Ovis aries: one gene and its partners. The protein of the gene in region 1 purifies or fractionates together with the protein of each later gene. This does not show direct contact. Links are inferred from orthologs where the notes say so. Each region holds a gene or a part of one and is shown in the gene's direction. Other genes may lie near its edges.

Evidence for each region.
Region 2: the proteins of interferon-activable protein 203 (region 1) and NOC3L purify together in Homo sapiens (affinity purification with mass spectrometry; 3 studies listed by BioGRID and IntAct, with this or other methods). This does not show direct contact. The link is inferred for Ovis aries from reciprocal best matches to the Homo sapiens genes IFI16 and NOC3L.
Region 3: the proteins of interferon-activable protein 203 (region 1) and LYAR purify together in Homo sapiens (affinity purification with mass spectrometry; 3 studies listed by BioGRID and IntAct, with this or other methods). This does not show direct contact. The link is inferred for Ovis aries from reciprocal best matches to the Homo sapiens genes IFI16 and LYAR.

Annotation. Positions count from the first base shown.
Region 1 is NC_056054.1:109,945,189-109,948,836, reverse strand, and holds the end of interferon-activable protein 203, read left to right. Parts: intron 1-737; coding exon 738-977; 3' UTR 978-3,477; downstream 3,478-3,648.
Region 2 is NC_056075.1:15,450,896-15,454,979, reverse strand, and holds the start of NOC3L (nucleolar complex protein 3 homolog), read left to right. Parts: upstream 1-1,202; 5' UTR 1,203-1,318; coding exon 1,319-1,327; intron 1,328-2,562; coding exon 2,563-2,770; intron 2,771-4,084. UniProt on the Homo sapiens protein: May be required for adipogenesis.
Region 3 is NC_056059.1:105,493,028-105,497,169, forward strand, and holds the start of LYAR (cell growth-regulating nucleolar protein), read left to right. Parts: upstream 1-1,260; 5' UTR 1,261-1,409; intron 1,410-4,142. UniProt on the Homo sapiens protein: Plays a role in the maintenance of the appropriate processing of 47S/45S pre-rRNA to 32S/30S pre-rRNAs and their subsequent processing to produce 18S and 28S rRNAs. Also acts at the level of transcription regulation.

The DNA of each region.
Region 1 (3,648 bases):
GTGACATAGAAACCAGAACAACGGAACAAGATGATCTAGAGTCAAGATTTGGGCAGATTAGGGAAGAATGAATAGATACAGAAGATAGAGGAAAGAATTACATATTGAAGTAACAATCAACTTAAGGAGGATTTGTAGCAATCTCTTTTAGATTCATCATAAGACAGGAATAGCCTTTCTTCTCTGTTCTTCATGGTGAAGTCACTCAGTCATGTCCGACTTATTGCGACCCCCATGAACTGTAGCCTATCAGGCTCCTCCATCCATGGGATTCTCCAGGCAAGAGTGCTGGAGTGCACTGCTATTTCCTTCTCCAGGGGATCTTCCTGACCCAGGAATCGAACCCGGGTCTCCCACATTGCAGGCAGATGCTTTACCATCTGAGCCACCAGGGAAGCTAGGGAAATCCAAAAAAGCCTCTGATGCTTATCAGACCACACCACATCTAAGTTCCTCAAGAAATCTCAGCTATTCTTAGATGGAAGCAGGAAAAATTAGGGAAGTAATCCCTTTTTCTAGAATGACCCAGCACACAAACACCTAAAGGAAGAAAAGAGAATTTAAATGGGAGGATAAACTGAACAAGATATCTTACACTATTTGATACCTGTAATACTTGGACCTCTAGCTCATATTCACTGTTCTGAGAGAAGAGTTTCCACTAACACTCCATTTTTCAAAGTTGTGGTAATTCCTGATCCAGTCCTCAAAAGATGAATGCTGATTTTCTTTTGCAGAAATGGGCATGTAGTGAATTAATATATTATGAAATACGAGATGATACAGGAGTGATGGAAGTCGTGGTTTATGGACAGCGACTAACCAGTATCAACTGTGAAGAGGGTGACAGACTTACACTCGTGTGCTTTGAATTGGCAGAACGCGGGGCTAAGAGGCAGCTGAGATCTGTAATTCATAGTTACATCAAGGTGAGAGCTTCTGGTGGGTCATCATTGTTCCAAAGTAGAAGTCTTTAAGAAAACTATACTGCTGCTATTACACAGAGAGTCCATCAGGTGAAATAACTAATCCTTGTCATTTAGTGTGTGTGAAGTCCCTTTTCATCATTCTTTTTTTTTTTTTTTAAGGATATTTTAAAATGTAGGTTAAAGTGTACAGCAAAGGGATTCACTTACACACACACACACACACACATATTTATATATTGTATTCACACATACACGTGTATATATATTCATTTCAGAATCTTTCCCATTGTAGGTTATTATAAGAAATCAAGTATAATTCTCTGAGCTATACAGTAGGTCCTTGTTACTTACCTATTTTATATATTGTAATGTGTATATGTTAATCCTAAACTCTTAATTTATTTCCCCTCCCCCCAACACTATCCCCTTTGGTAACCATAAATTTGTTTCTGTGTCTGTCAGTCTTTTCCTGTTTGGTAAGTTCATTTATATCTTTCTTTCTTTCTTTCTTTCTTTTTTTTTTTTCTTTTTTAGAATCCACATGTAAGTAATATCATATGATATTCGTCCTTTGTCTGACTTACTTCATTCAGTATGAAAATCACTAGGTTCATCCATGTTACTGAAAATGGCATTATTTTATTCTTTTTATGGCTAAGTAGCATTCCATTGTTACCCCCGATCTTCTATATTCATTCATCTGTCAATGGGCGTATAGGTTACGTACATGTCTTGGTACTGTAAATAGTGCTGCTATGAACATTGGGCTGCATGTATCTCCTCAAATTAGTTTTCTCCAGATATTTGCCCAGGAGAGTGATTGTAGGATAATATGGTAACTCTATTTTTAGTTTTTTAAGGAACCTCCATACTGTTCTCCAGAGTGGATGCACCAATTTATGTTCACACCAACAGTGTAAGAGGGTTTCACTTTCTCCACATCATCTTCAGCATTTGTTACTTTAAGACTTTTTAGTGATTGCCATTCTGACTGGTGTGAGGTGACAGTCATTGTATTTTTGATTTTCATTTTTCCAATGATAAGCAATATTGAGCATCTTTTCATGAGTCTGTATTCCATCTATATGTCTGCTTTAGAGAAATGCTTATTTAGTCCTCTGCCCATGTCTTGATTGGGTTTGAGTTTTGATATTAAGCTGTATGAGCTCTTTGTATATTTTGTAAATTAATCCCTGTTTTTAGCATCCATTGCAAACACTTTCTCCCAGTCTGTGGGTTGTCTTTTTGTTTTATTTATGGTTTCCTTTGCTATGCAAAATCTTTTACGTTTGATTAGGTCCAATTTGGTTATTTTTGTTTTTATTTCCATTACTCTAGGGGGCTGATCCAAAAAATATTGCTTCAACTTACTTCAAAGATTGTTCTGCCTATATTTCTGATAGGAGTTTTAGTGTATCCAGACTTACATTTAAGTCCTTAATCCATCCTGAGTTTAATTTTTAATGGTGTTAGAGAATGTCCTGGTTTGATTCTTTTAGACATACCTATCAAGTTTTCCCATCACCACTTACTGAAGAGACTGTCTTTTCTCCATTGTATATTTTTGCCTCGTTTGTCATCAACTAATTGGCCATAAATGCGTAGGCTTCTTTCTGGGCTCTCTAGCCTGTGCCATTGATCTATATGTCTTTTTTTGTGTGTGTGTGGCAGTACCATACTATTCTGATGACTATAGCTTTGTAATATTGTCTGTAGTCAGGGAACATGATTTGTCCAGCTCCATTTTTATTTCTCAAGATCATTTTGGCTATTTGTGGTCTGTTGTAGTTTTATGCAAATTACAAACTTTTTGGAGTTCTGTAAAAAATGCTACTGGTAATTTGATAGGGAGTGCATTAAATCTGTACATTGCCTTAGGTAGTATAGTCATTTGAACAATATTGATTCTTCTAATCCAGGAACATGGTATATCTTTCTATCTGTTTGTGTCATCTTCAGTTTCTTTCATTAACATCTATTAGTTTTCATTTAAGGGTATTTTTAATCATATTAAAGAGAGAAACTTCAGAAAGTCTATCAAAATCTATATCTAAGCTGAATATTATAAAGTTGTTTGAATTTTAAGATCAGGTGGATTAATTATTAAATTTTGACTTTTTAAGGCAAATTTATTTTGAATACTGGTTCTATGATTTGCTAGTTGACTAATAACTTAAATACTAAAAACTTCTGATTCAACATCTATAAAATGGAGGAAATATCTTTTATCTCAGAGGGTAGTTACTTGCCCATTTCAGATCTATTAATAAATGATCAAGGATGCCTCTGAGCCTTTCAGAACACAAAGTTACCTGCCTTTGGTGAGATACACATGTTGGTCAACAACAGAGGTGATTGGTCCTATGGGACAAATTCCATGATTTTTGTCAAACTCACACATTCATGTGGAATGGATTCTTTGAATACTAACAAAGGCTACTAATGGCATACTTTGCTTTATTATACTTCACTGTCTTGTGCATCATAGATATTTGCTTTTTCTTTGGTTTGTTGTACAAATAAAGGATTTGTAGCAATCCTGTGTAGAGTAAGTCTCCTGGAGTCGTTTTCCCAAAACATTTTTCACGTTGAGTGTCTGTGTCATATTTGGCAATTCTCCTAATATTTCAAGCTTTTTCTTGAATTCTTGTATTTGTCATTTTGATCTGGGGTTAGTGATCTTTGATGTTACTATTGAAATCATTTTGGAGTGCCATGA
Region 2 (4,084 bases), on another chromosome or scaffold:
AGAAGTTCGTTTCAAACGGCAGTGGAGATGCCTCATCCTTGGAGAGACTGGACAAGAAAGAGGCTGAAAGGATGGGAGTGACCACAGATAAATTATTATGTTTGAGGAATTCAGACTCTTGGGAAGAGGACAGGCTAATGTTTTCAATTTGTTTGATGAAGTAATACTCCAGTGGGACAGGTTCTGCCGTCTCTGAGAATGTGTGTAAAGGAGAGCAGTGGGGAAATTGAGGAAGTTGGAAGAGAGGGAAAGAAGAGTTCTGGATAGAATGGGATTCTTGGTCTCTAAAGTGGGATCCAGAAACTGAAAGGTTTCTTCTCAGTCTCTAAAAGACCAGCACCTACAAGGGAGCTCAGATTCTTTGGAGGTTCTATTGGCCTTTCCTCTCTAGCTCAGGACTGCTAGGCCAGACTGTCAGGATGTTCTCAGAATTGTAGACTTTAAAAACAAAAACAAGGAAAAAAAACTAAAGCAGAATTCTTCAATTTATTCATGAAAAAAAAAAATCTTTAAAGACAATCATTTTGAAAAACGTAGTTATTCTTGCAATGCATAAATCTTCCTGTTAAAACTAATGACTTTGGAGGGATTACTAAGGAGACAGTAGAATTTACAGAAAAGCTATAGTTATAAAAAACTGAAATGCAGATGAATCTCACTGATATAACTGTTTATCAAGCAGTGGTTAAATTAAGGCAAAAAGGGTTTCAAAATAAAACATTAAGAATCATAGACTTTTGAGTGTTGGAACTCATGAGAAATCATTAGCCATTCCACAAACTCGCCCAGAGAAGCTGTCAAGGGGCAGGTATTTCACAAATGAAATAAGCTCTTCTCTGTCCCACAAAAATCAGTATTTATAAAAAAAAAAAAGAGTACACGAGCTATATCTTATAACAAGCTAAACATGAGGAGGGGCACAAAATACAGGATGGTTGAAAAAGTCAGATCCTCTCGTTCTGAGAAGAAAAGCCCGATTTCCTGAAGAACTGCAAGGAAATTGGGCAGGAGTCAAAGATTCAGAGACCCTGGAGAGAGACCGCTGATTACCCACCTTTGGTGATTCATAGTGCCGTGCGCTGCCATGCGCATACAAGCCGGGGCGCCGTCGGCCTAGGGCCGCGAGAGGGCGCACGACAGCCCCCGTCTACGGAAATCCCGCCCCTATATCCGGCGGCGGAGGATGGGGAGGGACTCGCGGCAGTTTCCGGCTGGTTCAGTGTTGCTGATTTCGCACGTGTGTTTGCGGGTTCGGGATTCCTGGATTACCGCTGTCACTGGTGAATTTGTCTAGCCGGGGTACCCTGCACACTTAAGGATGAAGGCCGTAAGTGTCCTCAGAAGCCTGGTCCCCGCGGCTTAGAACCCTTTTGGGTCACAGAGTCGCTGCCGTTGTATGGGGTGCGGCGGCAGTGGCCTAGATCAGGGGCTCCCTGGGCTCTCTACTTGGAGAAGGCGATGGCGCCCCACTCCAGTCCTCGTGCCTGGAGAATCCCAAGGACGGGGGAGCCTGGTGGGCTGCAGTCCATGGGGTCGCTGAGAGTCGGGCACGACTGAGCGACCTCACTTTCCGTTTTCACTTTCATGCATTGGAGAAGGAAATGGCAACCCACTCCAGTGTTCTTGCCTGGAGAATCCCAGGGACGGGGGAGCCTGGTGGGCTGCAGTCCAAGGGGTCGCACAGAGTCGGACACGACTGAAGCGACTCAGCAGCAGCAGCAGCAGCAGCAGCAGCAGCAGGGCTCCCTCCTGGCTCTCCGCGCTGTCAGCTTCCTCTCCCTTAGACCTGGCTCCTTCTTTTTCACCCACTGAGCACGCTTGGCTTCAGCGGGCCGCAATGGCATTAGCACGAAGTCTTGAGTTCATAAGGTGTCAGACTTGAAGAGTTCTTCAAGACCATCTTTTGAACCCGTTATTTTACAGACGAGAAACGGTCCTGCTTTCAATAAGTTTATGAGTCTTGGGACCTAAGTCTTTTTGTTTGTTTGTTTGTTTTCTTCCTAAAGGTGAGGATATAGAAAAGCAAATTGTAATCCACATGCGAGTTCAGTTTTGTTTTCCTTACTTTTAAGGGTCTTTGTCTTGATCTCTTTAAGCTGTAGCTTCATCAGTAATATAACAGCAGTCACTACATCTAGGCTGTTGGCGGTGATATGTTAGAGCACTTTGTAAACAGTTAAGCAATATGTAAATGTCACTTGTTATTGCTAAAGACAGCCAACATTTTAATCTTAGTATGCCAAACTACAAGTGTTAAACTAGCCTTGAATAACCATTTACCAGTAATTCAGTGGTTTTTCACATGTTTTTGAGTCTTAGACCCTTTTGAACCGCTGTGATTTCTGCTCACTGTGAGAACCTCCCGTTGAACAACTGATCTGGCGCTGTTCTGTAGGATTAATGCCATAGTATGGTTTTAACTCTTATCCGCAAGACCCGTGACTGTGAGACATTAAAATTGTGGAATTGGCCTAATGAAATAATCAATTCTTTTTAACCTGATTTTAAAAATAAAGTCATTTATTTTTCTGGGTATTCAGTGCCCCTTCTGTTGTTTTCTAGAGAAGAAATAAAAAACAGGTTCCAAGCTTTCGGAAGTTGTTGAAAACTAGTAAAGTCAAACTTGAAAACAAGCTAAAAAACAAACAGTTTAAACAACAAAGCACTCTCAAGAAGTACCGTAAAGAGCAGAGGAAACTAAGGCAAGCTGTAAAAGATGCTGTGTCTAAGAAACCCGTTCTGTTGGAGGACCCAAAGGAGAAACGACCAGGTAACTGAAAACATTCCTGTGTTCCAGTTTCTATTGATTTGTTCTAAAATATTCTTCATGCAATAACTTTGCCTTTTAGTCGTCACTCCTAGGGAAGGATCGTAGTCCTGTATGTTTCAGTCACTATGAGAAAACATTTTAATGCAGTATTCATGGTGAAAGAGACCCAGCTTCTGCTTTTAGTTTGTTTAGAAAGCAGATCTGAAGATTTTCAGTGCATATTTGGGAAACAGACTAAGAAAAAAACCGTAAATAACTTTTGGGCATTCCAATGCTACCACTTTCCCGTGTCACTGGCAGTTAGCTAAGGAAACAGTATTGCTTTTCTCTAATGCATTCTTCACAGTGTTGCCAAGTATCACTTAGTTTTCTAAACTTCTGGCTTTCTTTTCACTTGGAATGAAATTGAGCTGTAATTGTCAAGGTTATTCTTTTGTCACCCTGTTCAAAAACTCCCAAGTACTCAAAACAGTTAAGGAATATGATCATTCTGAGTCAGACCCATTTGGCTACAGCAGAACTTGTACTTTCAGGGTATTAATATTTGACTATATCTGACTTTTCTTTCTTCCTGTGCACATCTCATTCTCTTACCCTGACCTGTTTAATTTGATCCATTGGCAGCCATGCTATTGTGATGTATAAAAGGGCATGGGACTAGAAGTCAGGATACCTGAGCTTTTCTCATGATTTTGTTTCTTACTAGTGGTGTGGCCTTCATCTGTCACTTAATCTCCAGGTACTTCACTTGTTTAAAAAAAAAAAAAAAAAAAAACAGGCCTTGCTTGAGTTAGATACGTTTAAAGATCTATCTAAATTTCAGAAGAATTTAAAAAGCATGATATGTTAGGTATTATATTTTAAAAATAAAAGCAAAAAATGTCTTTCTTCTTACACATTGAACATCTAAATTAAGTCTCTTAGGGAGTTGGGTATAGGTATAATGTTCAAGTGAAAGACCTGGGTTAGAGAGAACAGTTTTGCAAATTATTACTATATAGATGCTAATCAAAGCCTTTGACATGAGTAAAATCACCATGGAGACTGTGTAACATGAAAATAAGAGAACCCAGAAAATAATTTTAAGGAACGCCAGCATTTAAGATGTGAGTAGAAAAACCTGTAATGTGGTTTGAGGTGGAGCCAGAGAATTAGGAAGAAGACTTAAATTGTATATATCTTAGAAACTGAAAGAAACATGTTTCAAGAAAGAAGGAAACTTTTTATGTTCTAACATGAAATAGTATATAAAATGAATTTTAATTTGAAAAAGCAAGATGAAAAGTCATGTATATTGGAGCTTCCACCCTCTTG
Region 3 (4,142 bases), on another chromosome or scaffold:
GAAGCCCAAGAATACTGGAATGGGTAGCCTTTCTCTTCTCCAGTGGATCTTCCCGACCCAAGAATCCAACAGGGGTCTCCTGCACTGCAGGTGGATTCTTTACCAACTGAGCTATAGAAGCTTAAGTCAGGGCTCCCACATTTCTGGCAAACTCCTTAGCATTGCGGGCAGACTCTTTACCATCTGAGCCACCAGGGAAGCCCCAACGTGAAACTGAAAGTTGCCCAGTCGCGTCTGACTCTTCGCGACCCCAAGGACTGTAGAGTCCATGGAATTTCCCAGGCCAGAATACTGGAGTGGACAGCCTTTCCCTTCTCCAGGGGATCTTCCCAACCCAGGGATCGAACCCAGGTCTACCCAAGTGAAGGTTGCAGGCGGCTTCTTCACCAGCTGAGTCACCAGGGAAGCCCGAGAATACTGGAGTGCGGTAGCCTATCCCTTTCTCCAGCGGATCTTCTCGATCCCAGGAAATTGAACCCGGGTCTCCTGCATTGCAGGCGGATTCTCGACCAACTGAGCTACCAGGGAAGCCCCTTAAGGGTTGAGAGGAGCAGATAAGCACTCTACTGAGTGCTTTGCAGGAAATCCTACAATAACCTTATCGAGTTAAGCACGGCAGTGTAACACACGTTTACAGACGCGGATCCGAGGCACGGAGAGGTCGCACGGCCACGGGACTGGGCTGGGCTTTAGGAGCTCTGGGGTCTTCAGCGCTAACTCTCTCAACTTTACACGGCGATGGAGGGAGCCGGGGCGAGGAGACAGGACCCGCGGCTCCCGCGGGCGGTGCCCCGCGCGGCCGGGAGGGGAAAGCGGGTGCGGCGTCCAGGCCGAAGGTGCTGCACACGCCGTGAAGGACGCGTTCCGGAGCCCGGCCTGGTCGTCGCGTCTCCTAGCAGAAGCACCTCACGGCCACGGCAGCAGCTCCACGGCCCCTCACGGCGCGGGGCGGCGGCCGGTCCCTGCCCTGACCTGCCCGGCCCGGCCCTTCGGGCGCCCGGCCCGGGGTTCCGTGCCGTTTCCATCGCCCTTAGCCCCGCACACTCTCGCGAGGCCGGCCTACCAGTCAGCAATCCCCACCTTACCCTCAGAGACCGCTTCCCGCCCCGTCGCCTCTTCTTCACCTGCAGCCGCCACCGCCGCCTTCAGCGCTCCTGGCCGGGCTCAGCCGGCAGCGGAAGCATCGCGACAACACCGCCCCTCCCACAGCATTGGGCCGGCGGCACCCGCCCTCTGACTTCCGGTTGCCTCACTTCCGCCAGGAGGTGTGGTCGCGGGGCGCCTCTGAAGCGAATTCTGCGCGCGGAAGCCCTGGAGGGAGGTGCAGGTTATTAAGCCTTGCGGGAAGCCGCGATTCCACGTGCTCCTCTCCGGGCGGGTTGAAACCGTTGGCGGGCGCTGGCTGAGAGGTGAGGGGCGGTGGCTCAGAGGTCCGACCTGGGAGGCTGGAGCTCAGGCTCTGGGGCGGGGGGTGGAATGGGGTAGGGTGGGCGCACTGTGTCCGTTGCCTGCGTTTCCACCTTTAGAGAGTCTTTCCTTTGGCTTAAACGCATGGAAGAAAGAAGTGCATTCAAGTTTCATTCGTGCTCTGGGGGAAATAGAAGAAGTCCTGGAGTTAGAATGACCAGTTCCTCCGGATTTTAAAATGGAAAAGTCGGTGCCGGGAACCCCGCAGAGGGGGTTCCAGCCGGGATGGTTGGTTGGTTCCCCCACCGGACTGCGTTGTGCAGGCTTGCTGCATGTTGGGATCGAGGCGCTTGCCTTCTTTGAGTCTTGGGGAGCTCGATCCCCAAGGAGGAGGCCCTTAGGGCATAATGGTTGAGAGCGCGGGGCTTTAGGGCCGGGAGTAGCTGCGTTGTGAATCCAGGTTTGCCACCAACTGCACGTGTAGCTTGCTGACAGTTACTGAACCCCTTTGTGCCTGGTCTGTCAAAAGAGGATAATAATAGAACCTACCGAACTCAGAGGATTCTTGTGAGTATTACAGGAGCCAGGGCTTGGCACATAGTAGATGATCCGTCAATGTCCGGATTTGCTGCAGCCCCTGCCTTTGTGGAGAGGTTAGAGGCACGAGGTGGGGTTTGATGCTTGCAAGCCTACCGTTCTTGCAGAGTGCCTACCTGGGACTTATACACACAGCACCCCGAGTCCCCCCAGTGCCTAACGTAGTGCCTGACGTGTCGGCTTCCACAGGTAGTTATTACACCAGTGAATAGATGCTGTTTAAACCACTGCTGTTGATGTAGTATGTGAGGAGGGTGTGAGACTGGAACTTGGGGTTTGAGAGACACCTCTCAGCTTCTGTGAGCCTTGTCTCATCTGTCAAGTGGAGATGGATGTGCCTTCCTTGAGAGTCTTTGCAGAGCAAGGAAGAGATCCTGCCTGACTATATACCCTACAGTCAGGAGCTTCGGTGTCACGGTGTACAGTGTAAAGTGTGTCCCTTTCATGATGCCCCTGGTTTCTTGGAGTTTTCCTCTTGGGAGGAGGTCTGGGCTAGCCTAGTTGACCTGATGGATTGTTTCACAGCCTGGAGAACTTAAGTCCCTAGGGGACAATGACTTGCTTCAGGTCTCAGGGCTCACTGGAGGCTGTTGACAGCTTGGCCCTTAAAGTGGGCAGTTTTGGTGGTGATGGTGTCAGTGGGATTTAGGTCTGTGTGTGTATGTTTGTGAAGGAATTGTTTTTTAAGAATAGCAAGACAATAGAAAAATGTGTAAAGAGGAAGGTTAAAAAATTGCCAACATCCGATGGATCATGGAAAAAGCAAGAGAGTTCCAGAAAAACTTCTATTTCTGCTTTATTGACTATGCCAAAGCCTTTGACTCTGTGGATCACAATAAACTGTGAAAAATTCTGAAAGAGATGGGAATACCAGACCACCTGACCTGCTTCTTGAGAAATCTGTATGCACGTCAGGAAGCAACAGAACTGGACACGGAACAACAGACTGGTTCCAAATAGGAAAAGGAGTACGTCAAGACTGTATACTGTCACCCTGCTTATTTAACTTCTATGCAGAGTACATCATGAGAAACGCGGGACTGGAAGAAACAGAAGCTGGAATCAAGATTGCCGGGAGAAATATCAATAACCTCAGATATGCAGATGATACCACCCTTATGGCAGAAAGTGAAGAGGAACTCAAAAGCCTCTTGATGAAAGTGAAAGTGGAGAGTGAAAAAGTTGGCTTAAAGCTCAACATTCAGAAAACGAAGATCATGGCATCTGGTCCCATCACTTCATGGGAAATAGATGGGAAACAGTGGAAACAGTGTCAGACTTTATTTTTTTGGGCTCCAAGATCACTGCAGATGGTGACTGCAGCCATGAAATTAAAAGACGCTTACTCCTTGGAAGAAAAGTTATGACCAACCTAGATAGGATATTCAAAAGCAGAGACATTACTTTGCTGACTAAGGTCCTTCTAGTCAAGGCTATGGTTTTTCCAGTGGTCATGTATGGATGTGAGAGTTGGACTGTGAAGAAGGCTGAGCACCGAAGAATGGATGCTTTTGAACTGTGGTGTTGGAGAAGACTCTTGAGAGTCCCTTGGACTGCAAGGAGATAAGCCCTGGGATTTCTTTGGAAGGAATGATGCTAGAGCTGAAACTCCAGTACTTTGGCCACCTCATGCAAAGAGTTGACTCATTGGAAAAGACTCTGATGCTGGGAGGGATTGGGGGCAGGAAGAGAAGGGGACAACAGAGGATGAAATGGCTGGATGGCATCACTGACTCGATGGATGTGAGTCTGAGTGAACTCCGGGAGATGGTGATGGACAGGGAGGCCTGGCTTGCTGCGATTCATGGGGTCGCAAAGAGTCGGACACAACTGAGCAACTGAACTGAACTGAATAAATAAATAAATAAATCACTCCAAATACAAGCTTCCCTGGTGACTCAGATGGGAAAGAATTTGCCTGTAATGCAGAAGACCTGGGTTGGATCCCTTGGTCAGGAAGATCCCCTGGAGAAGGGAATGACAACCCACTCCAGTATTCTGGCCTGGAGAATTCCACAGACAGAGGAGCTTGGCGGGCTACTGCCTATGGGATCGCAGAGTCAGACACAACTGAGCGATTTACACGTTCACTTCACAATCCCAGAACCAATTTGAGTTCATGTTATCAGGGAACAGGG